4 linked regions of the Drosophila melanogaster genome follow. The protein of the gene in region 4 interacts with the protein of the main gene of each other region in a pairwise test. Each region holds a gene or a part of one and is shown on either strand. Other genes may lie near its edges. The genes, in order: lost, CG30159, CG14424 and MESK2.

Region 1 (7,579 bases), on a different chromosome or scaffold from region 4:
CTTTAATGAAATGTACATATATATATAAGGGATAAAGCACAAATAAATTAATTAAATTAATTAATAAAAAAAGGTCTTTTGCTCGGATGGGCTGACTGGGATGGATGATTGGAGAAGATGCTATTATTTTGATTCTATATATTTTGATCAGAAATACTTTTCGAGTTGGTCTTTTTATCGTACTTCTTGCTCATTACCATCAATAAGACAACATCAGTGACCATCGCCTGGCCAAATTCCAAGGCTATCATCGCTTATAGAGTACTCTTTTGTCTCCATATAATTTCAGCTGGCTATAGCTATCCGGTGGACTGGTGGTCACTTGGAGTCGTCGCCTACGAAATGCGGGGAAACATCCGACCCTTCGTTGTGCACTCGAACACCCCACTAGCGGAGATCAAGAATATATTGAACACCCCCGTGCACTATCCGCGCTACTGGAGCAGCAACTTCGTCGATCTGCTGCAGAGGGTGGGTTGGATCGCACTGTTTTAACACACTAACACACACTTTATGACTATTGTAGTTACTTTCCACCTATCCGGGTGCTAGGATCAGTACAAGGCAGGAGCTGCATCAAACGCCCATGTTGCGCAACATTGACTTCCAGAGGGTGCTCGAGAAGAAGATCAAACCCATCTATAAACCTCCCGAAGACCACCTCAACTGTGATCCTTGCCTAGAACTGGAGGAAATGATTGTAGAATCGCGGCCCTTGCATAAAAAGAAGAAGCGCCTGGCCAAGCAGAGGTCAGCACAACGCGACAGCGATCCAGAGACTGCACTGGTCAAAGAGTTCATCGTTTACAACCGCTACAAGGAGTTGAAGCGCAAAGCCATGGAACAAAAGGAAAACGACTGGCAGCGCGAACTGGAACTGGCCATGGCCAACTCCATCGTGAACAGCTTGGCCCCCATCCAAGAGAAACCCGCCGCCTGCGTTGTGCACGACGGCGACTGTGCGACCGCATCATCCGCAGTCGCCCAGTTAAAGGGCGAGAGTATTGAGTTCATTGATCGCACTCCTTCACCGCAGATTAAAGAATCGGCTGGCAGCAGACTTGACATGCCGCAGAGTCCGTTTCAAAAATAAAACCTAGGACGCGGTTGATAAGCAACAGGTTTCAAACTGCACAAGAACCAGACCCACTTGCGCAACGATGACTTGTCAGCCATCCATCCATAAAGACCAGAACCTATTTTTCGAACTCCTGTAAACTTCATTTTGTGTACATGCGCATATTATATACAGAACTATGACATTTTATAACTTTTAAATAAAATAGGTCTAAGCTACCTTTGTACATATTAGATTTAAGTCTAAAAGCAAAATAAACGGGTAATTTTCGGTCAAGTTTATTTTTACGATTTTTTTAATTTTTATTTCAAGTTATATTTCATTCATGTTTCATATTTTTTTTTTGTAATGCCTTTTGTGTATAAAAAAAGGGTAAATAATTATGTTCTGCCTTGTATAATTATGTTCTGCATTGTATAATTCTTGCTTTCACACATTTCTTGTTCTTCTGTTAAAAATATTATTAAATTTATTGATGTTTGCGGTGAAAGTTGGAAAAGACTAACCAAATGCAACATGTAAATATTTTGTTAATTCATTTTTTCTTACTCGCGGTATTTCTCATTTATAGGGCATTCCTATTAGTATTACATTTTAGAACATTACTTCAACTTCAACGCACTCAACTTCAAGCCCTATTACTAGCAGCTCAACTGCTTAACAGAGATACAGCAAAACGATCTTATTGCTGAGGTGTGAAATCAAATTAACAAATATTCAGAAGTTCTAATTCAGAATTGTAACAAGTCACAAGAAGTTAGTAAAAGGATTATTTAGAAGAAATGGTGTTCCACTTTGCATTTGTGGAACGAGTATTTCTGCAATCGTTTTAATTTTCTTAGGCAAAAAACAAATGCAATTGTTTAGAAAAAGCGTCAATGATTTGTGTTCTCGTTAGAAAGAGTTGCGTTTGATTTTCTTGTTGGTTAGAATAATGACGGAGAAGAAGAAACTACAAGCTGCAAAACATGATATTCAGTGTATGCACAAGTGTAATTGCCAGCGTGTATTTAGTGAGTGTGTATTTTGAGTGTACTTTGTGTTTGTTCGGAGTTCGCTTTCTATTTGTTTTTTGTTTGGTATTTCCCGATTTTTTCTAAACAAAATGTTACTTTTTTTCGTTGAACTCCAAACATTGCGCTGTCGGCGGAAGTCCGCCGCGACCGTTCATTGGCTGCGCCAAGCGCAAAGTCATACTATACTGTGGTGGTGTCGACAGCTTCGATGCGTGCACCACCCACGTCGCCTCCTGCCACAGTTACGGCCTCCCCTCCGTTTTGCGCGTCTGCTTTTCCATCCTCGCCTGCACCGGCATTGGCACCAGTGGAGCTAGCACTTTTCTTCTCGCCAAATTGGATCAGTTCTACGTTGACGAGAATAGTCTTGGTCTGCACAGGCGTTGCAGTCTCAGCTGACTCTGCTTTCTCACCGCCCTCCCCTGCGGCGGCAGCTGGGGCTGTCTCGCCACCAGTGGTAATGGTGAGCGAGAGATCGTTGAGAGACTTCAACACCTTGTCCATGTCGTCCTGGGTACTGGGAACCCCCTTGCGGTTTCCAAAGTGCAGGAAACACTTTCCGAAGTGTCCTAAAGAGAAGGTATAGTTAGCGTAGAGCTTTTAAACCAAATATAAGTGACATACCCTTCCAAGAAATTGACATCGGAGTGCATTCGCGTTTGCGGAGCTCCGACTTTAAGTCCTTGACGCGAATATCACGAGACAGATTTGTCAACTTAATGCAAAAATCACTGTTCTTGTTCTTCTTTGAACGACGCTCATCAGTGCCAGCCTCTGGTAACTTACGATCATCAGTTTTAGCACCTGCTTCCACACCAGACTGATCGCCCTCAGACTAAAATTACGTTGATTAGGCTGGCTTCGGCTGTCATATTTAAGCTACTTACCTTAGTTGTACGTCTGCGGCGATTGACGAAACGACCTTTGCGCCGCGGAGTGCGTTTCTGAGCAGTCTCCTAAAAATGCAGAGTTAAAAGTTACTCAATAGTGCCGACAGTGTGGTGGATTCGACTTACGCCCTGCGGCTGTTCGTTGTCAGTCTGCGAAGTGGTGCGACCTGGGTTTCCTCGTTGGATGCGCCGGCGCACAGGCCCACGGCGGCGTCTGTTGTTTTGATGTTGCTCCACATCGGTGTCTTCCTCCTTGAGGGATATGGATTTTCCCGCCTTCTCCTCCCTTTCCTTAAGCTGCTGCAGCACGGGCAATATTTTTAGACGGCGCTCGGACAGCAGCTCCCAGTAAACGCCATTGGGGAAAGACAAGCGCTTTGGCACCCTGATTATTTCTGTGGGTGTTGCAATGATATCAACTGGCGTATCGTACTTCTGGAATAGATTCGGGGGCAGTGAGTCCACCACCTGCATGTCGTGCACGATTGTGACAATAATTGTCTTCGGTGTAATGGCTCCCAGTTCAATAAGGAGGCCGATGTCCAGATCAGCGAAACCATTTCCGCGTCCAATGCGGTAACCCTCGCGTGACACTACAACAGAGCCAATAACCACGATGTCCAGCTTCAGACCGCTGTCCAATCCAATTTCCGAGCGAAACTTTTGAATATCTTGAACGCGCAGAGCCTCCTTTTTCTGCTCCTCGGTGGCATCGGCCAGCACATCTACCTTTAGGCACAGTGCAGAAGATTCGCGGGTGCTGGGCAAGTATACGGACTTGTCGGCCAGCAATGCCAGTTCCTTAAACTCATGCAAGACGCGATCGATGTTCACCTTGATGTGCTCTGCAATACGGGAAAGAGTGATAATTGGTGCACTGAAAACGGGGCTGTGGTACTCCCTTACGTGCTTTCTTGAACTCCTCTTCATTGGCAAACAAGGCAGCAGCCTTATCGGCACCCACGAACGAAGGAATTCGGTTAAATATGTTGTTGAATCCAATGCCAACCTTGCCCTCTTGGATCTTTTTCCAGGTCTGCACGCGCAGCGAGCGCTTTGTGGGCTCTATGGGCTGAGCTGTAACGACATGTTTGTTACAATAATATGCTCCAATAACATAAACAGATGACTAAAAGAAACATATTTTAGTTTATTGCAGCGGTGAGCTCATTTGTATTTGTGTTAGTGATAGCTAGCCTTCATTAAATCAAGCCACATTCCATTCCAGAGCTGATCTGTAGGTATGATAACGTGCGGACCCAAGCGATTCCCCAACTTCTCGGACATGTTAGTTTTTGTTAGGGGAGGTTGACTGTAAAAGTGCGAATCAAATGTGCTGAATAGCAACACAGCCGCTGCCCTTATCGTCTGTAATGAACGCGTGTTATCACGCTAGTTGGCGCTGGACTAAAAGTGATACCGCGGCTGATATACCGGTTTCCACGCCCAGTAATCAGATGTGAAAGTGACCCAAACATACACCAGCAAACGCCGGCCCGTATCATTGAAAACAAAAATCTGCATGCAAAATCGGGACGGCAGGGTTGCCACCTGTGCTGGTTAAAGAACACACGTCAACATGCATGTGTGTGCGCTTGTTGAATTGAAACTGAAGTATGAATTGGCCGCTAAAACTATTTCGGCCGTCTTTCTTGGCGGGTTCAATGAGAAATACAAATTAAGAACCCATATCCCGATATTAACGCATGACCAATAAGTTGGCAACGCTTCGACACGCACACACTCGCACGCACACATTTCTGGGCGATGAGCGCATCGACTCGCGAATTTCTCAATTAATATGTATTCGTATGAGCAGTGCCGCGAGCGTGTAGTGGTGTCGGGCAGCGCGGGGCGCAAGCGAGCGGGTGAATTGACACTGCGAGCACAGAATCTCGAAATCGAAATCGGCCAAGAGCACCGAAAATGATTCATTTCACTTTTTGTAATTGTGGGAAGAATGCGCGCAAAGATGACGTAATTAGTGTCAACAACAAGCAACTTCGGCGTTTCGGCAACTCTTATTTACAGCTAGGGTCTCCTAGAAATAAATATGGCGGAATTCGACAATCTTCCGCTTCTACACTGGCACCTAGAAAATGGCTGAATCGGGCACCTGCCCCTCTGGAACATGGGTATTCACTTTGGATGCCCAGCGAGCAAGGCGCGGCGCGGCGCAAAACATTTATGGAATCACCAGCACTCGCGAGAATTACACGCAATTTTCGTCGGCGAGCGGGCGGGGTAGTAGGGCAGGCCACTTACTTGTCGAAGACACCTCCTGCGCGGTGTTTCCGCCGTTCTCCGCGGCGACAGCGGGGGCTGCGTTGCTTTGGTCCTCCATCGAATCGCTCGCCAATTGTGTTTTAGTTCTGCTCACAATTTTTTACCGGCTCAGGCTACGGCTACACAGTTCACAGTTCACAAGCAACGTCTACCGTTCTCCGCTGGCTTCCAACAAACCACGTTTGAAAATTGACGTTTCTCTGGTGACGTAAAAAAACATCGCCGATGCGATACATCGATACATTTCGTATAGAGTTGCTTGCGATGGTTCTAGCTAAAAATATAATAAAAGTTATACATCTGAGCTTATACACGCCACCGACAATATACATTAGATCTACATGCAAGTCCATCATCTTTTTTCGCTTCAATTGTTATATATTATTTTAATAAACATCGAGTACCACCCAGATAGTTCGGTAAAATTGTAAGCTGTGATCACTGCGAATAAGGTATTAAAAACTAAAAATAGATAAATTTTATATTATTTTCTTTATTTATGTTTCTTGTAGATAAAGGAATCGAAGGATAAACTATAATTAACACAGGCTCCTGCCCCGGCTTAGGATTTTCTAAATGTAACTCTTCTGCAAGGTCCCTAAGGAATGTTTTATATAAAAATATAAAAGAATCTTTAGTGATGCGACTAAGACTATGTAATAAACAAAAAAAACAAGATGGAATGCTATAGTCGAAATCCCCGACTATCAGATACCCGTTACTCAGCTAGTGTGAATGCGAACGCGAAATTTCATTAAAAAAAACAAGAGGGAACGCTATAGTCAAGTTCCCCGACTATCAGATACCCGTTACTCAGCCAGTGGGAATGCGTTTTTAGGGCGTTAGAATGGGTGTGGTAAAAAGTTTCTTGGCAAATCGATAGAAAATTTCAAGACTAATTAAATTATGAAACAATATCAACACATTTTTTAAAAGTGTGGGCGTCACAGTTTTGTGCGGTTTGTGGGCATTAGAATGGGCATGGCAGCATGGGTCAACAAACGTGAGCCGCGTCTCTAAAATCTGTATGCTTAATCCCAACCTCTAGATTTTATAGTTCCTGAGATCACGACGTTTATACGGACAGACGGATAGACTCGGCTATTGATCCGGATTATATATAATATATATCCCTTATATAGTCGGAAACGCTGCTATCTGCCTGTTACATACTTTTCTAGTACGAATCTAGTATACTTTTTTACTCTACGAGTAAGGAATAAGAATAATACACACGACTTTAGAAATTCAATCCTAATACTGTTTATTTTATAACCTACTATTAAACTTTTAAGTATGTACAGTCAATAACAGTAATATTAGTGATAGGTGCCAACCAAGATATCATCGTATGGCCTGTGACATGTGCAATGGGGTCACCATTAGGGTAAGCTCCGCGTCCTTTAAATTTGCCCCACGCAAATTTGCCTCCTGCAAGTCGCTGCCAGAAAGATTGCATTTTTCCAAGTCGGCACCTGCTAACACCGCAGCTCGCAAATTACAGTTCTTCATATTGGCGTTCTTCAAATTTGCCACACGTAAGTTAACACCGGCCATGTTGCTGCTTTCCAAACATGCTCCTTTGAGGTTAACACCCTCTAGATTAGTTCGAACTCCTGTTGGGTCTTCAAAATTACACCCACGCAAGTTTGCACCTTCCTGAAAGATTAGGCAGATTAGTTTTCTTAGCTAATTGGATGGCGTAAATCTGTTACAACTAGTTTCACAAATGATGTGATTATTTAATAGCGTTTTCTGTTAAACCTGTGCTTACCATATTGGCGCAAAGTCCCCGCACTGACACTAGTTGGGCACATTCCAAGTTTGCGTACTGAAGATCCGCCCGTTCAAGACAGCAGTAGTTAAGATTGGTGTGGGACAAATTGCAGTGAGACATGTTGGCATACTGTGAAGGAAAAGGGATAGTCTTTAGTATAATTATTGTCTTCAACTTGATAGATCTCCACCAATAATTTTCCATTTTTTTCCGGACGAAAATATCTCCTTTACTGCGTAGCAAACTACAATAATATTAAAATGCAGTCGTGTTACGGCGTTGGAAAGACTTAAAATGTTGTATTACACAATGTATGCATTGAAATGAAATTCGTTTGCGCACACCTTGAAGTTAATGTTGCGAAAATCTAGCTTTCGTAGATCGGCCCCAGACAGATTAACGCCTTGAAAGCGCAGCTCCGTTATCACGGAGGTCTGAATGATGGCCTTGATGACGTCGTTGCGCGTCAATGGTCTGTCCCCCAGCGGCGTCTCCTGCTGTCCCAGGCGTTCCTCCAAATGGGTGACAAGCG
Region 2 (5,215 bases), about 15 Mb from region 4:
AAATTTTCTATATCCGTATACTGCATACGATTGAAGAATTAGCGCCGTGTGCTGATGTTTTTCCGCCCGTAGTGAATGACATCCATGTTTGCGTGACGCGAATAATGCGCTGGTACTCCGACGCAGTCAGATTTCCCACCAGCAGCAAGTCAGGGTCCCAGCCCCAAACTGGTTGGACGAAGTACAGTTCCACCTGGCGGTGCAGTGACTTTGGGGCAGTGAGTTAGAAGTTGCAAAACCATATCGAAATGCCACCGTTGCTGGCGTTTCAATGATTGTTTGGTTGCCATTTGGAACCAGTTAACCTCGGACTGACTCCGACTAATGGGATGCATGTTTGTGGATGTGGGGCTCGGTTGTGGGGACCGAAACAACACAAACTGGTTTTGGGACTCCAAAGTAAACAAAAGTGTACGTAGTGTACACAAAATTATACAGAATTTTTCGGATACCGCTACGTCACAAACGTAGCCCAATTTTAATAACTGGTTTTGGAATACTGATGATGATCTCAAGCTCTGCCCCCACTTTGCACGTACAGTGCGTTTCGTAACCGGAAAGTGATAGTGCTGACCGGAAAAGAGACACCATAAATGCTATAATAGATCCTACTTTAAGGGTCCTTAATAAACATTAATTGAGATATGTTTAATTTCATGATATGTAAATATGAAAGCCGACCTAAAGAACACAAAAATACAAAAATGCATTTAACGAGAGTGCCTTCTGTGGCTTTAAAATGTACTCATGCTCACCACTTTTGTGGGCCTCGACTTTCTCAGCCTTTCAATACTGAAAACACCAATTTTGGGAAAACCAGTTTATTCCGCACGAAAGTTATGATCTCACTGCCAGCCTAAAAGGCTGAGAAGTCGATCTAAGCTTGGCCGCTCGAAATTATGTAATCTTAAATGTATCTATGCTACTCACCGAACAGAGCAAATTAAATATAAATAGGATATATTTAACCATGGAGATTCCGCAGCTCATTTTGCCTGAGTTTTGCCAGAGATTGCTGGTGGAGATGGATGAAGAACTGCAACTGATCGTTCGGGAGACGAAAAAAATGGAATGGAATTAAGAAATTCAGATACAAGCGTGAAAAGTTAGGTATTTCGGCATTTTATTTGGGAAACACGCACACGTACACACACAGGCACACGCACTGATGTCATCCGTGGTAAAAACATTTCGCTTATTTGAATATTTAAAAAATGCTGACGTTCTTGGCTCTACTGGGTGTGGAAATTAGCACACGATCACGTACCGCCTGGGCATCGAAAGTCGCGTTGGGCAAGTCGCGCTAGCTATTCCCCTTACTAATAAGCTTTTGAGACTGACTTGTGTACTTGTGCTCGAGGGTTTGTAAACAAATGCTGTCTTATATCGTATATGATATTTGCCAATCGTATAACAATAGATAGCAAGCAACACTAAGACACAAATGCACAAGCTAGTAAACAGGCATAATAAAAATATAGAGAGTAGCTGGCCATGGAACTAAGTTAATGGTGGCGAGCTAGGTAGCCCTGTAAATAGCATCGAGGCAGGAACGGGGAGATCGCAATCAGCGCACTAGCTCCGGCAGCAGCTTCTCCTTGGGCAACCAGCGCTGCCTCAGTTCGTTGTAGCGGCGCCAGATGTAGGGATAGCCGGCGGCCCAGGAGAGCCAGGCCTCCTTTTCCGCTGTGGTCTGCTCCACCTTCTTCAGATGCTGGTAGTACTTCCCGTTCTTCTTAACCGCGGCGGCGGCATCCTGCACGAATCGGGCGAAGCGGAGCTTGAGCAGGGTCTCCGAGACGTCCAGCAGGCGGTTGCCCCTCGGCGGATGGACCAGGCACAGCTGGCAGACAACAAAGTCCTGTCCCTTGGCGGATTTAAGGGGCAGAAAGGTGGCCTCGCGCCCAATGAGACACTGCTGCAGCCAGGAGTAGCCGTTGGCATTGACGCGCACGCCCGGCAGTTTGACGGGCAGCAGGCGTTTGCTGCTAGTGAAGATCGGGAAAAGCGGCCGGTGCTGGATCATCAGCAGGGTGTCCTGCTCCTGCTGCTTGACCCCGGCGATCTTGCCCGTGTGCATGACGCGCTCGTTGATCAGGCGCTCCGGGATGTGCGAGGGCTGCTTAAACTGGCGCACCAGGTAGGCCGGCTTCCGTTTGGCATAGGCCACGGCCAGCATGATGGCCGAGGTGCCATAGATGGCCAGCTCACTGCCGCGCGTATCCCGCTCCAGGAAGTTACATAAGTCCTGGTACTTGGCCACCGCAAAATCCTTGGCCGCCTCCATTGGATAACTGGAAAGTGGTCGCTGGTTAGGCTTTTTCGGGTTGGGTGCCGCCACTGGCAGGTCTCACTTTACCACTTGGAGCGTTATGTCGTTTCGCTGGCCTAATCTATATGTAAAACCCAACTAATGGCTAATTTTGTCGCTGATTCCGCTTTTCTTGGCTGCAATTCTGTTTTGCTACTGACCAGACTTTGACATTTGCCTCACTGGAGTGCGAGCAGGACAACTAGTGTGCCGGTTGGGATCGCTGTTTCGGCACCTTACAACACTGCCTGCTACGACACTGTCGCTCTCGCCCTCTCTCACACACACAAGCACACGGAATTTGAAAACAAAACCCACACACACACCTTGAGTTTTCCGCCTTTTGAATGATTTACAGAATGATTTTACGCGCGCTCCGCTTTTCGAACCGTTCGTGAGCAGTTGACAATGCTAACTGAACTAAACTGATCGGTCAAAAGCTGCGCCAAGCAGCCTCAACCTGTTGCGTCGCGCACACTCACACGAGCATAATTCGTTTTGTTTTGGTTTGTTTCGTCACCCCCTCCCAACGGTAATTACTGTAACTTGTTTTTCCGCTCTCTGTTACCAATCGCGTTTGTTTATTTATGCAAATTTGAAATGTTTCGGGAATTACGTACATATTTGTTTAACTTTTACTACCAATAAATGTTTTATTTATGCAAATGCACTATTGCCTGGCCAATAGGAAAATTAAGAACAGAAAAAAGGGAGCAAAAACCTCACGTTGAAGATATGTATATGGAAATTATAATTTTGTTTCGAACAGTTTTTATAAGATAAAGCTGCCTCAAAAACAGGAAATTGTAGGATAAGATTGTTTGTACATACGTATCTCGGTATATAAAAATACAGGTATTCATAAGGAAAATCTCACATGAACATTGATTTGAATTGATCTTCTAGAATTTCGAGTTAATGGAAAAATGGCTCGAAACCGCAAAACTTTCGATGCGATTTCCACTGGCGGACGTGTTTTGCGGTTTTCGGCTCGTCGTGGGCGGATTTTCCTCGAAAGTGGCCTAAAGCCAAAGCCAACCAGTTTGGGCCGATGTGCAGGTCTCGTTAGCCAGCCTACTATGGCTTCGGGCATGGCTTCCGTTTTTAATTACCAGACAGAAGGGCGTTGTAATTGTGTTTAGCTTTTCCTTGACACACACTGGCAACAACAGTAACAACAACAACATCATAAACTGGTTTACAGCTTACGTAATCCAATGAAAACGTGGCTTGGAAGCATTATTTTCGGATTTCGGTGGGTTGGGAAGGGGTGAGGGGAGCGCCAACTGTCGCGCCCGCTGACATTCCCTAATTAACAAGTGTGCTCCGCACAATTAACCTCACGTTGTTCCGTATTTAAATGTATTTCCACAACGCTCGGCACACAAAGAGAAATAGAATTTCGTATCTCCATTGATCGAAATCGCACTATCTAAATGAAACTCGTACTGGGATGAGTCATTGCCCCTAAAGATGGAAAATTAAGTGTATCTAATAGATACAAGCGCTGAAGATCATCTCGATGGATTGCCCACATTTACTAAAGATTAAAATATTAAAGCAATGTAACAATTGGCACGAACAAATCAAGATTTTTTGCAGCTATTTCTGTTTCAGCAATTTTGAATGCAACACGAATTCTTAGGAATAAAATATAACTCATACGGATTTTCCCAAATGGAAAAGCCATACATACAATATGATTACTAAGAATATACACAATTTGAAATTAAAATGATCAATATTCATATTATTTGGAATATGATCATATTGCCCCCTTTTTCCTACAGTGCTGTCTTCCCAATTATTGTCAAAATAGAATCAATTATGAATCATTTGCTTGCACTTCTGGTTATCTTCCTCGAGCAAATACTTTCTGTAAATGTCGAATTAGCGTCAAATGAATGACATAAGTGAGATTGCCTTCCAAGGGGAGGGACACTCGCTGGCGACGAAAAGCCCGTGGTCGAGATTGAGATCTGCATGCGTCACACTCGAGCAATTTCGAAAATGCACTAATGCCGCGGAAAAACCTCAAGCTGCTTCCCATGGGTGCGGGGTATCAAATTAGCATGTACACAGAAAGTAAAACTACTGTGAAATCAATCTCACTCAAACAAAAGATCATTCTCAGCGTTTTCAGTCAAAATTCCTTTCGCACATTATTGAAATATTTTTTTCTGTCAGTATACTCAACTTGCAGCTGACCAAACAGAATGTATCATTTTTCTCAGACCTACAGTATTGAGATATTAATACAATGAAATTCGTCATAAAAGTGGTTGAATGAATCCGTTTTCATAAATCGCAAGAGTAGTAGTTACTTTAGCAAATATTTTCTATATATACAGCTGTGTTCATAAAAATAGCAGTGCTTTGGACCTGAGAGTTTAAGATCAAAAATTCCTAGGATTTACAGTTTTAATGGGATTTTTTTTTTTTATAATATCATTAGGTATTTAATTTTAAACAATTTAACAAATGTTTCACTTTTATTTCTTCAATAGTTTCGAAAATATAGATTAAAACAACAAAATAGGTAGAAACTCTGGTTTTCAATGTAAATATTGAAAAAAACAGTAACAAAATTCAACTTGACCTAGAACTAACTTAGTTTTTCTTTTTAATACGTTAATTCGGGCCTAATACTTGGCTGGATAGCCTTTGTTAGCCAGCACAGCCTTACACCCACGCAGCATGGAGTCCACCAGGTCCTGGCATCATTTGGGGGAATTTTTGCCCATACATCCTGCACAACTTTCCAAATCTAAGCCTTAGACGTCGGGGAGTTCTTCGACACATTTTGTTTAATTTCCCCCCACAGGTTTTCAATCGGGTTTAAATCGTAAGGTGGTGCTGGCCACGGCATTGCATCTATTCCATTTTTGGGTGAACCTATTCTTT
Region 3 (4,747 bases), on a different chromosome or scaffold from region 4:
AACTGTTTTAGAAAGAAAACTACATATTATTAAAACTTATTTTTTAGATTAACAATAAGTTGATAATTTCTTACGCAGGATAGACAGGATTTCTTCAAATAGCTTACAATACCATTGTCTTGTTATGCAAAAGAACCATTAGCTTAATTAATCAATCGGATTTCCTGATTGCTATCATTTTGTACACGTGCATAAATTAGTAATGAATATCAAAGAGATATAGATTGATTGCAAGTCAAGTGAATTCCCCGAATTCACTAGTAATTTCCGCTCTGCGATTTCTTTTCATCGAATGTGGATCAGTGTGCTAATTTTTGGGAATATTTCTTAGACGCGCTCCAAAAATAGAACTTTCCCTACAACAGTAACTTTCCAAAATATGTTGACCCCGCAAATGATTGGGTGAGATGTGCTGACCCCGCCATGGGGGCAACTTTCTTTGCCATATACATAGCTAGAAACCACACACTTTGCTAATGAGTATTTACGATCTTTTTATGCATTTCCATTAGCATCAAATAACTTGGCTGGGATCTCTTTTGCTCGCCCAGCTCTTCGAGCTTATGAATACATTGCGTTCTTTTTCGCATAATTTGGTTATTAAAACATTTGTTTATGTCGCCCATAATGGGCGGCAAATATGTTTTCCTTTTTTTTTCCCCCAGTCCGCCCTTGTCATTAGAAAGAACTGCCAACGGTAGCTGTGGAAAATTTAAATAATTGCCGCGGCAATAACATAAATTAGATAAACCATCGGAGAGGCTGGCAAAAAAAACATGGAGTTCGAAAAAAATACAGCACATAAATTAATCATACCACCCGTGGTCAGTGGCCCAAATTCGGAATTGAGTAGGGCTGAGGAAATCGATTGGTCTCCAATTTCAGCCACTATTGAAGGCATTCAATTAACATTTAATATCGGGAATAGCTCGATGTACCCGCTCTGTGAAAATTATTGTTCTTTACAATTGTTTTGCAAGCCGAAAATAATGGTAATATTTGAAGGAAAATGCAAAAGCAATTGCAATTTATTTTAATTCAGATAGTTGTTTCTTACGATCTTGCATTATTTTGCAGGCGGACTGTGATTTAAATTTAAAGTTCTCTATAGCAAAACTCTTTTGGCCAATACATTTACACTTTTACAGCCAATTTTTAGGCGCATTTTAAATGCTATTTTCAAAATAGCTTTAATTTTGCATAGGTCCTAAACAAAAGGAAGATTATTGATTTAAATTAGCCAACAATAGAAGAACACAAAAAAGAGAGCAGACACTCATAAATTCCATAAAACCATAATCCGTCATGCCATTATTTCGCGCAGCTTATCACTAATAGTTCGATAGATTAGCCACTTAATCTCTGGCACTAAGTTGAGCCTGCTTTCAATGCAGAGAATGGCGGAGAAAAGAATAAATTTCGCACTATGGACTCGATCCACTTGATTGATTTAAATGCTCGTTCCTCGATCCGAATGGGGAACACATGCTGGCTGGCCAAAGAATATCTTTGTATATGGCTATATGGCAGACAGGCAGGCAAATGAATGTGGCCCAAATAAGCCTCGAACTCTGACATCTGCGGGGAAGAACAGTGAGACCTCGCCCACTTCGGACATTGACAAATGGAAACGGTTTGACTTATTGAAAATCTCACTTTTGACCTCAAAATTGGCTCAAGAATTCGCCAGACGGTTTTTGTATTTTTCCGTATTTCTCCAGGCGACCCAAAATGCAAATTTCTCGATTTTGGTAAAGAGTCAAATGCAACTGGAAATGGAAATGTAGCCACCAGAAGTCAACGTTCTGCGATCTCTGGGATGTTAGGAGTTTTTGGGTTCTCTGCTTTTTGGGTTTTCTATTACTGGTTTTTGTGCATAAATCAGTCGACGGACATTTGCATAGTTTAATAATTTGCCAATCGTCCAAGTCCCCACCAATTTCGCTACATTTTACTTTGTTCTGCTGCCTGGCCACCTAATTTCTTTTGTTTTTCGTGTGATTTTTATGTGTCTACGCTGTTTTGCCTGCTTTTCGCCGGCCAGGTGAATGTTCCTTCCCTGTATAAAATGTCTTTGCCGGGCACTTGATGGACCATTTAATAGAGGCCCTCGTCCAGCGACAGACCCAAGCCCAAGTCCAAGTCCAAGTCCACATCAAATCCAAGTTCACAAGAAGATCCCATATATACATCATTATGGCAATTAAGTTGGTAGCCCTTTTGACCATCGGACTGGCAATCTTTGCCGCGTGCGAAGGTGAGTTGGTTGGTGATTTAGGAGACGAAAAATAATCTTTGATGAATTATGTTCGCTTTTCCAATATCCATCAGTATCATACATTCTCTTCGAAATCATAATTAAGTGACGGTTATTAATTAATAAATTGCTTTCATAGTTTTTGAGAAACAAGCAATTTTCATAGTTCTTTGTTAATAATGACAGACTTTTGTTGAAGTGCATTGACTTTTTTTTAATATGTGTTCCTAATATACGATGATATTAAAAGCTAAACTAGTTCGTCAGGGCGAATTTAAACCATTTCTGCCAACCCTATTTCCTAACCCCATGTCTTTGTATCCCATTAGCCCGCCATGTGAGCGGACACCATCGCAGGCAGCATTTTGAGCAGCGTGCCCTCATAGCGAAGCCCCACAGTGGTCCCCAGGGACGAGTCTTCCCCGGTGCCGTGGCCATTAAGAAGCTGGTTCTGCTTAAGTTCAAGAAGATCGTGCCCATCTCTCTGATCCTGCTGAAGTCAAGCAACGAGAACGAGGCCGAGCTGGTGCCCGTCTATCCCACCGATCAGATTCCCGAGAACGTTCAGTTCATCCCGACACCCAATGGAATTTCCGGTCACAAGGATGTCCAGGCCATCGCCATTCCTGCCGAGCTGCACGACCAGCTGCAGATCAACGGTCTGTCCAACCTGGAGAACATCGAGGCTCTGCTGCAGAGCAGCTCGATCTCGGCTGCCGACAATGAAGGCGAGGCCCCCGTGGGCAACAGCATTGCCGTAGCCCAGCCCGAGGATGTGGTACTGGAGCAGCCAGAGAACGATGAGGATCAGCTGTTAGACGGAGCCGCTCCAGTCGCCGCTCCTGTAGCCGTCGCTCCCGCCGCCCTGCGCCGCCTATCCGCCGACGAGCTGCTCCGCTCCGGCGTGCGCAACTCTGCCCAGCAGCAGCAGACCAGCGTGGAGGAGATACCCCTGCTTCTGTACTCCGCCAACGAGGGCTCCTCCTCCGCCGGAAACTCGGGACGTCGCTTTGTGGCCGCCGCTCCGGCACAGCGCCGTCGCCAGCAGTTCTACAACTAGGATCCTTTAATTTAAACAAGCAACCTATCCAAACTTCCACATTCCTTCTCTCGATGGCTGTCACACGGGCTTCACTGTACTAGGTGTACTTACACTACCACTGGCTATTCTACATTTTTTTTTTAGACTGAACTGAATATAAATTAACGTTATGAGCGAAATGACAAAAGAAGGGACTTGTGCTTCCGGGTGGCGAAGGGTCTTCAGTGGGCCCTGGGGTAAAAAGGCCACACTTGGATAAATTGGGGGTCAAAGAAGAACCTTTAAAAAGAAAAAAGTTGTCTCAATGGTAAACCAACCAATTTATTACAACAAAAAGCACTGGTTTTAAAAGGTTCAATTAATCTAAGTTTTATGTTTATAAACATTTAAATATCCACCCCTTTTTCGAGTGTCGCCAAGTAGATGGGCAGATCCTTGTTTGGGGCGCTGCTTATCAGGCGACTGCAGTTATCAGGCCTTTGTGCTCGGGCTTTGTGCCGCTGACGTGACAAGTCCTGTCTGTGTCTCGTTTCGTACTCGGCCTCGTCCTCGACTTTATCCTCATCCCCATCCTCAGTTTCAGTCTCAGTCTCAGTTTCGGTTTCGGTGTCCCGATCCCAGTCCAAATCGCAGTCCCAAAGAGTCCTCGTGTGGCAGCCTGCCAGCAATTTTGAGCCAACAAACAAAGCGGCCACAAAACACATGGCACAAATTTTGCTTAGGCGCAAAAGTCAACGGCACACGAGGCGCAAAGAAAGGCAGCCGCACAACAAAAGCGCCACAAAGATGGGACACGTTAACCTGCCATTCTAATGTGAAACCACGAATAGAGAATGTCCTTAAACATATGCCAAAAATGAACTAAATCTGCCGGAAATAGGAAACTAGAACATACTATGAACAACTATGAAATCCCATAGTTTGGTTTACAAAATTAGAAATCTAATAAGAGCGATATTCGATCCACAATTAATTTTCATATGAAACAACTGGAAATTGAGAACTTTTCACATGTAGCAGGGTATCAAAACTTTATTTCTACGGGAGTGCATTTACCTACATACACCCCGCACATCGCCCCTTTGCCCAGTCGTGTGTCTTATTTGCCGCATTTTTGACAGGATTCCCCCAAGCAACAAAGCCCCATTCCACGGAGATTATGCAAGCGCTTTCCGAATTAGCCAGGCGAAAAACAAACAAAACAAAAGGGGACCTTATGGGCCAGACATACGGTAAAAATATTGCCACATTCAGCCGGCCTTCCGCCTTCCGCTTTAAACTTTAGAAATCCACTTTTCTGCTTATATTTAAAGAAGTCAAACGTGTAATCTTGATTTTCTCGATATGTAAAATGGCAAATTTCCGAGAATGTTCCACTGCTGTATAAAGCAATTAATCTCATTACTTGAAATCCCTAGAAGTACAGAAATGAATGTTTTCTTTTGATT
Region 4 (6,004 bases):
ACTTTTATGGCATAATTACTGGTTTTATCAACCATATAACTGATGAATAATCACACAAAAACAACAATGATTTGTTGCCCTAGTCTGAAAACCTAAACACAAATGACACCGCATTTAAAGTTGCCAAGTACATGGGCACTCGCAAATTCCGCGGCCATCCTTCGCCACTAAAAAAGCTGTTAGTCTAGCTCAACTTTGACCTTTTGCTGCTCGATTTATGGGCGCTGATAAAGTTGCGCTTGCACTTTTCACCTCGACCACACGAAATGGTATATGATATAATGGGCCTAGCGCCATATTTCTACATATATATGTACATATAATGTAGTAATGTATAATGTACTATAGGCTTATTGGTGGCAAGCGATTTATCAGCGGCATCTGGGCCACTTCAATTCCAATAATTGCAGCCCAGCGTGTGCCATTTATGGCGAATTATTCATAATTGCGATTGCACGTGAAGAGTGCAGAGGAGGAGCTTGAGGTGCAAGCAGCGTGGAGCCATTGAAATTAGCCATCGGCTAGAGTGGGACGGCGACAGGCGAACGACGTGCCCTGGCTTTTCCGTTTTTCCGGCCCGGAGCGAAAGGAGCGCACGGAATATCGACAATTTGGCAGGTCGCCCACGGCAACCGTTGGCAGGTCAACGGGCAACAACAAACCGAAGCTCAAGACAGCAATCTGAACTCAATCTACTGCTGAACTGTGTACTTGATTGGGATTCAATGCTACTTCGGATTTACCGACTCAGAAGACTAAATAATTACGATTTTTTTTCTTCTGAGAACAAAAGTGATTTACATAATCCTTGAGCTTTTGATTTGCTTTAAATGTATCTTTTTCTACTTAGACGTGAAAAGAGATAATTTTAAAGGAAGTCTGCTGTAGTTACATACATAATTCATTGTTAAATTATCATTTAATACGTTTAATGGCTCTTGTTTTTTGTAAGATCTTTCAGTGTTCGATTTCCTTGGAAGGTGGCTAACAACAAGTTCTCTGCTGCCCCTAAAAATACTTGCTCAACTATTGTATTGACTGCAATTTGTCCGAGTCCTTCAAGGATATCGCCTCCGATGTGGGAGGGGGTACAAATTTGCAAAACAGAAATTATTCAAATGTTCTTTGGGGGGCGGAGAGACAAGATACCCCATCGGTAGGGGGCGTGGCAGGGGTTCTGGGGCACCGACAACGGCAGCAAATCACATACAGGAAATGTCACGCTATGTCAAGCCGCAGGCCAGCAGGAAAAAAAATCGTACAGCCGAAACGAACCAAATCACACGCTCAACGTCAGAGCGTGTTGTTGCAGGATATGGGAGAATATCAGTTGGGTAGGTGGGAGGCTAGGGGCGTGGCACGGTGGGGCAATGAGGGGCGGCGCAGGTTGCCCTACTGTTACGTGTTTGCAATCGATTTGAAAGTTACATAAAAACAGAGCCGCAGCAGACCAAGGGCAGAAAAGGGAGAAGGTGCCAGGGAAGTTGGTAAACACCTGAGTGGCCAACAAGAGCGTCAACAACAACAACAACAAGAACAACAACAGGAGCAGCAACAAGGCGCCAAAAGCAATTTGTGCGGCGAACTTTTTATTGTGTTTGCCTTCTGAGTAAACTGACCTACGCATTAAACATGCAGGAAAGTTAAACATCAGATATAGATACGTATACATACATGTATGTACTGGACTCAGATACTCAGGAGGACGAGACGAAATCCTGTCCATGGCGATGGCGCCGACAGGTTACAGTAGAGCCGTTAAAGTGGAGTCCTCACCCATTCATTTCCACACCCAAAAACCGCTAGAAGCAATAAAATTTCACAAAACAGCGAATAACAAATGTCTGCAGGAACAGTAAACACTGCCAATAGGTAAACCAATTAGGGCAACTATTAGAGATAACAGTCAAGTCGCTTTTAATGAACAACCCCATTATTCCATTTCGCTTTTCCTTTGTTTAGTTAGGAAAATTGGTCGACTATTGTCTAGAAAATCAACTCGAAGTTGATTTGAGGTTTTTTTGCGAATTGCCTAGATCGTCAAATTTCTTATTTAACTTAATTGCAATTCAGAATATGGAAAAAAGGTGTAGGAATCAAGGAAACCTACTAATTTAGAATCCCAGGACAACATGCAACCGCACTTTTTTTTACTGGCATAACTTGGTTTTCAGCACACAGGCTTCACTGTGGCAGCTGCTGAAATGATTGCGGCGAAGTTTTCTGGAGGTCGTTTAGAGTGGAAAAGCGCCAGCTCCGAGAGAGGGAGAGCGATAAAGAGGAAGAGAGACGGAATGGAGCGAAGGGGAGGGCAGCAGGGGTCCATTACGTCAGAGCCAGAAGCCATTTGGGTTTTGTCAAAAATTAGCAGTTAGGAAAAGCGAGGAAAACCCAAACGAAACCAAAGCCAAACATACACAAAAAAAAAACGAATAACGAATAAAAACGAACATCATAAATGGATGAATTAGTACAGATATGGCGAGCAACAAGAACAACAACGACAAAAACGTGCATACAACAACTAACTGTTAACTAAGTAAAAAGAAGAGTGCGCAAAATATACAATAGTGCTAATTGAAAAACAGATACTGGGATGCAAATGAAAAGTTTTAGATGAGGCAGTGTGTTTTCTTTTCTTTTTAATGGGGGCGAGCGCAGAGAGAGAGAGACAGGATAAGACAGAGAGAGAGAGAGAGAGAGAGAGAGGGAAGAGTAATAGATAACTGCAACAAAACAAATGCAAGCGGAGCGAGAGGGAGGGGAGTAGGATTAGAACTGGTTAATGTTATCTTCCAGACCCGCCCCTCTCTTTCACACCTTTCCAATTGGCATTTGTTTTGTTGTCTGTTTGGCACTTGTATGTATGTTAATTGTGCCCGTTGTGTGCGGTAGTGTAGGTGTGAGTGCAGGTGTGTGCGTGGTTGGATTTAAAAAACTCACCTGACGCTTTCCGTTGCTTTTTCTTCTATTCTTTTGTAGGCCTCAAAATTGAGATAAAAACTACTACCGCTTTTTACCAACGCCTTCTTTTTGGCTAACAAAAAGAGACCGTTGTTTTAACTGCACTGTCTATGAAAAAATCAATATTCGGTCTCGACCAACTTTTTTCTTCACCTTTTCTTTTACAACTTGTGTAATTTCTGTGCTCGTTCTGTTTCATTCACTTATTCTCTCGCTCTCGCGCGCACGCACACACACACACACGCCCGCTGTTCGCGATTGCCAGTAATTTTCGGGGATCAATTTCTTGTAATTTCTCCAGCTGCTTTCAAGTCTTTAATTCTCGGTCTCGATGCAGCGCAAAGCAAATTTGATAGTGATGGGGAGAAACATCGATGCATCGGGAATCGATGTTTTCATATAGGTGCTATCGAGCTAGCCGATATTTTAGAAATAGTATCGCCGACCAGCGATACATCGTCGCTTATCAAAACATCGGATTCTTAAATATTTTTGACTTAAAAATGTAAATGTTACTTATTATTGGTGTCTAAAACCTTTACATTTCTTTAAAAAGGTATTTTACGATGCTTTTTTTTTCAATGTTACATTTTTGCACTTCCAATGTAATGTAATAGATAATCCAAAACCTATATTATTTTAATATATTGTGAATATTTTGCTTGTAATGCTCATAACAGCAAGCATGCGGTTGGGTAGACATAAATACCCATCACTAATCAGCTGTTTCTTGCGTCCAGAGGAAACGTCGTGCGTTTGGCGTTTGATTGAGTCAAATTCAATTTGTTAACTAAATTCTTTCGTGCAGAACTGGATAGCTGATCGAAGAAATCCGTAAGCCAGGCTCACATGCATCAAAACACATCGGCCAGCTAGCAAAATCCGATTTCTTATTTATACTCCAATTACAGACATGCCGCGACGCTATCAAACAGCTCTCAATTCGGCCAAATACAGTGCCCAGGTCAAGACCAAAACTAGTGACAACGAATCCGATTCCGAAGATGATCTTCCGCCGGATCAAGATGCTGAGGATAACAATGAGCCAGATAATCTGCGCAGCATTTTGGAAAATGCGCCGCACTTCTCTTATCCCGGCTTGAACACTGGAATGTTGGGCCAACTCTTGTACGATCATCAGGATAATCCGAAGCAGGACTTGCCAAATTGCTCGGTTACGGTGCCGCTACCCCTCTTCCTGGCAAAGGATGGACAAACTCCCCGAGTGGAGGCATGCGTCCAAAGGCCATTCCGCTACGACGATTGGACACGGCAATTGCAATTAGGCAAGGCTATATTTGATAGGCGACTTAAAAATATGAGACAGCGTGTACAGAAGCAGGAGCAAGGTGTACACGATGCCAGTCTGTTTGAGATGGCTGAGCACATAGCCCAACAGGAGAATTCCTTCTTCAGGGACAGCTACGATTACTACTACACAGGCGGAAACCTAAACACGATTCCGTTTGATGGAAACGATCAGCTGGCCATGCATGTCAGCGGTAATAAGCTCAGAGATTTGCACTTTTCCCGAGATTATGGTGAGGCGGAGTTTTGGCAACCATTGCATTCGGCTACGATAGAGGAATCCTCCAGCGAAGTCTTTGAACTTCTTCCGCTCCACAATTTAAATCGCAGTCAAATGTTCCTGGCACGGTTGCTGAAGGAGGTTTCCCTATACGAACTTAAATGCAAAGACGAACAGGATTCGGATTCAGATTACGAACTCATTCGCCATTGCATGTTTAGCAGTCAAGTAGCTCCTTTTACAAGCGCTGCACAATCATTGGCCAATGCCAATACATTGGCCTTAGCTAGCCAGGATAGGTCTTTGCGCTTCGTGGATATTTCGACACAACAGGATATAGCCAAGCTTGATGTTTGCTTGCTAAAAGGACTGAAGAAAACCTCGAGTACCTGGGCACAGTTAAAGCAAGCAGAGGAAAGCACCTTTCACTGCCTAACACAGCCAGTTTTGTTTACCGTAGATGTGCGATGCAATCTGCCTCTGAATCCCTGCTTTGCCAGCGGCGTTCACTCAAAAGCTTGCGAGAGGTTCTCTTGTTTGGCCAAGGGTGTGAATCCTAATCTCTTGTATGTGGCTAGTAATCACAACTTCCACTGTTTGGATATCAGATGCTTGGGTAAAAAGCTGACCGATCGAGCTGTCGTCACCTGGACGCATCAGATGACCTATCCACCCTGTTTTATTGACACAAGCGTTCACCAGGACAGTGAATATATTGCGTTAGGTGGACTCTTACCCAAAGATTTGCGAATTTGTGAACTGCAAGGAGCTCAGGCAAAAAGTGTCGATGAAATGTTCTCGCCGGCAATACCATTTGCGCCGGTAACCCTGGAAGAAGCTTTAATAGATGCTCGCTTGGGAGGATTTGTGGATGTCTATGCTGATATAGCAGAGCGGGTAACGACCTGCATTACAGGAATGCGCTTTATTGGCTTAGAGGGGGCCAGTGATCAAGCTTTTACCCAGTTGCTAACCTCCAACAGCTTGGGAGATGTTTACTGCCAAAGACTAACGCTTAGGGATGAAGAGGAGCATGTCCAGCAGATCAGAACCGGAACTCATACAACGGAAGCCATTCGCTACCTTGCCAATGCCGTTAATGAGCGCGTCCAACGCGAGAACATCCGCTGCACACAAGTCCAGTCGATACCAGAGATAAGAGACATCTTTCGAGATGGTGCCAAAAGATCAAAACCTGAAGAAAAACCTTTAATCGTAGAGGAAATCGAAATTGACTATGGCATAGAAGATACTGATGTTTCAGAAGATGAAAGCCCAGCCTCTGAAAAGGTAAAGGAAGAACCTTCGGAATCCAAGAAAGGTGGTAAGAAAACGCCTAAGAAAAAAACCAAGGTGAAACCAAAACGGCAACCCAAAAGGAAAGCTGCCAGTAAGAGAAATGTTAAAAAGCAGAAGAGCATCAGTCGCGGTCCCTGGCAGAAATCCGCTTACAAGCTGTCCCACTACACGGACATGATGTCGACCCGTTTGCTGGACGTGTGGGATATGGAG

Evidence for each region.
Region 1: the proteins of MESK2 (region 4) and lost interact in a two-hybrid assay, tested with the Drosophila melanogaster proteins (one large-scale study listed by BioGRID).
Region 2: the proteins of MESK2 (region 4) and CG30159 interact in a two-hybrid assay, tested with the Drosophila melanogaster proteins (one large-scale study listed by BioGRID).
Region 3: the proteins of MESK2 (region 4) and CG14424 interact in a two-hybrid assay, tested with the Drosophila melanogaster proteins (one large-scale study listed by BioGRID).

Annotation. Positions count from the first base shown.
Region 1 is NT_033777.3:4,400,951-4,408,529, reverse strand, and holds lost (lost), read right to left. Parts: upstream 5,455-7,579; 5' UTR 5,329-5,454; coding exon 5,250-5,328; intron 4,062-5,249; coding exon 3,891-4,061; intron 3,830-3,890; coding exon 3,111-3,829; intron 3,051-3,110; coding exon 2,982-3,050; intron 2,930-2,981; coding exon 2,719-2,929; intron 2,664-2,718; coding exon 2,275-2,663; 3' UTR 1,348-2,274; downstream 1-1,347. Other genes in the region: CG32944 (uncharacterized protein), read left to right, coding at 290-471, 527-1,093; CG14647 (uncharacterized protein), read right to left, coding at 6,615-6,929, 7,045-7,176, 7,392-7,579.
Region 2 is NT_033778.4:6,990,200-6,995,414, reverse strand, and holds CG30159 (uncharacterized protein), read right to left. Parts: upstream 2,735-5,215; 5' UTR 2,360-2,734; exon of another isoform or gene 2,355-2,359; intron 2,295-2,354; 5' UTR 2,288-2,294; coding exon 1,568-2,287; 3' UTR 1,109-1,567; downstream 1-1,108. Other genes in the region: Tsp42Ea (tetraspanin 42Ea), read right to left, coding at 931-990.
Region 3 is NC_004354.4:2,924,619-2,929,365, reverse strand, and holds CG14424 (uncharacterized protein), read left to right. Parts: upstream 1-2,107; 5' UTR 2,108-2,196; coding exon 2,197-2,257; intron 2,258-2,586; coding exon 2,587-3,317; 3' UTR 3,318-3,482; downstream 3,483-4,747.
Region 4 is NT_033778.4:21,499,419-21,505,422, reverse strand, and holds the start of MESK2 (misexpression suppressor of KSR 2), read right to left. Parts: upstream 3,327-6,004; 5' UTR 2,944-3,326; intron 1-2,943. Other genes in the region: TAF1C-like (TATA box-binding protein-associated factor RNA polymerase I subunit C-like), read left to right, coding at 3,878-6,004.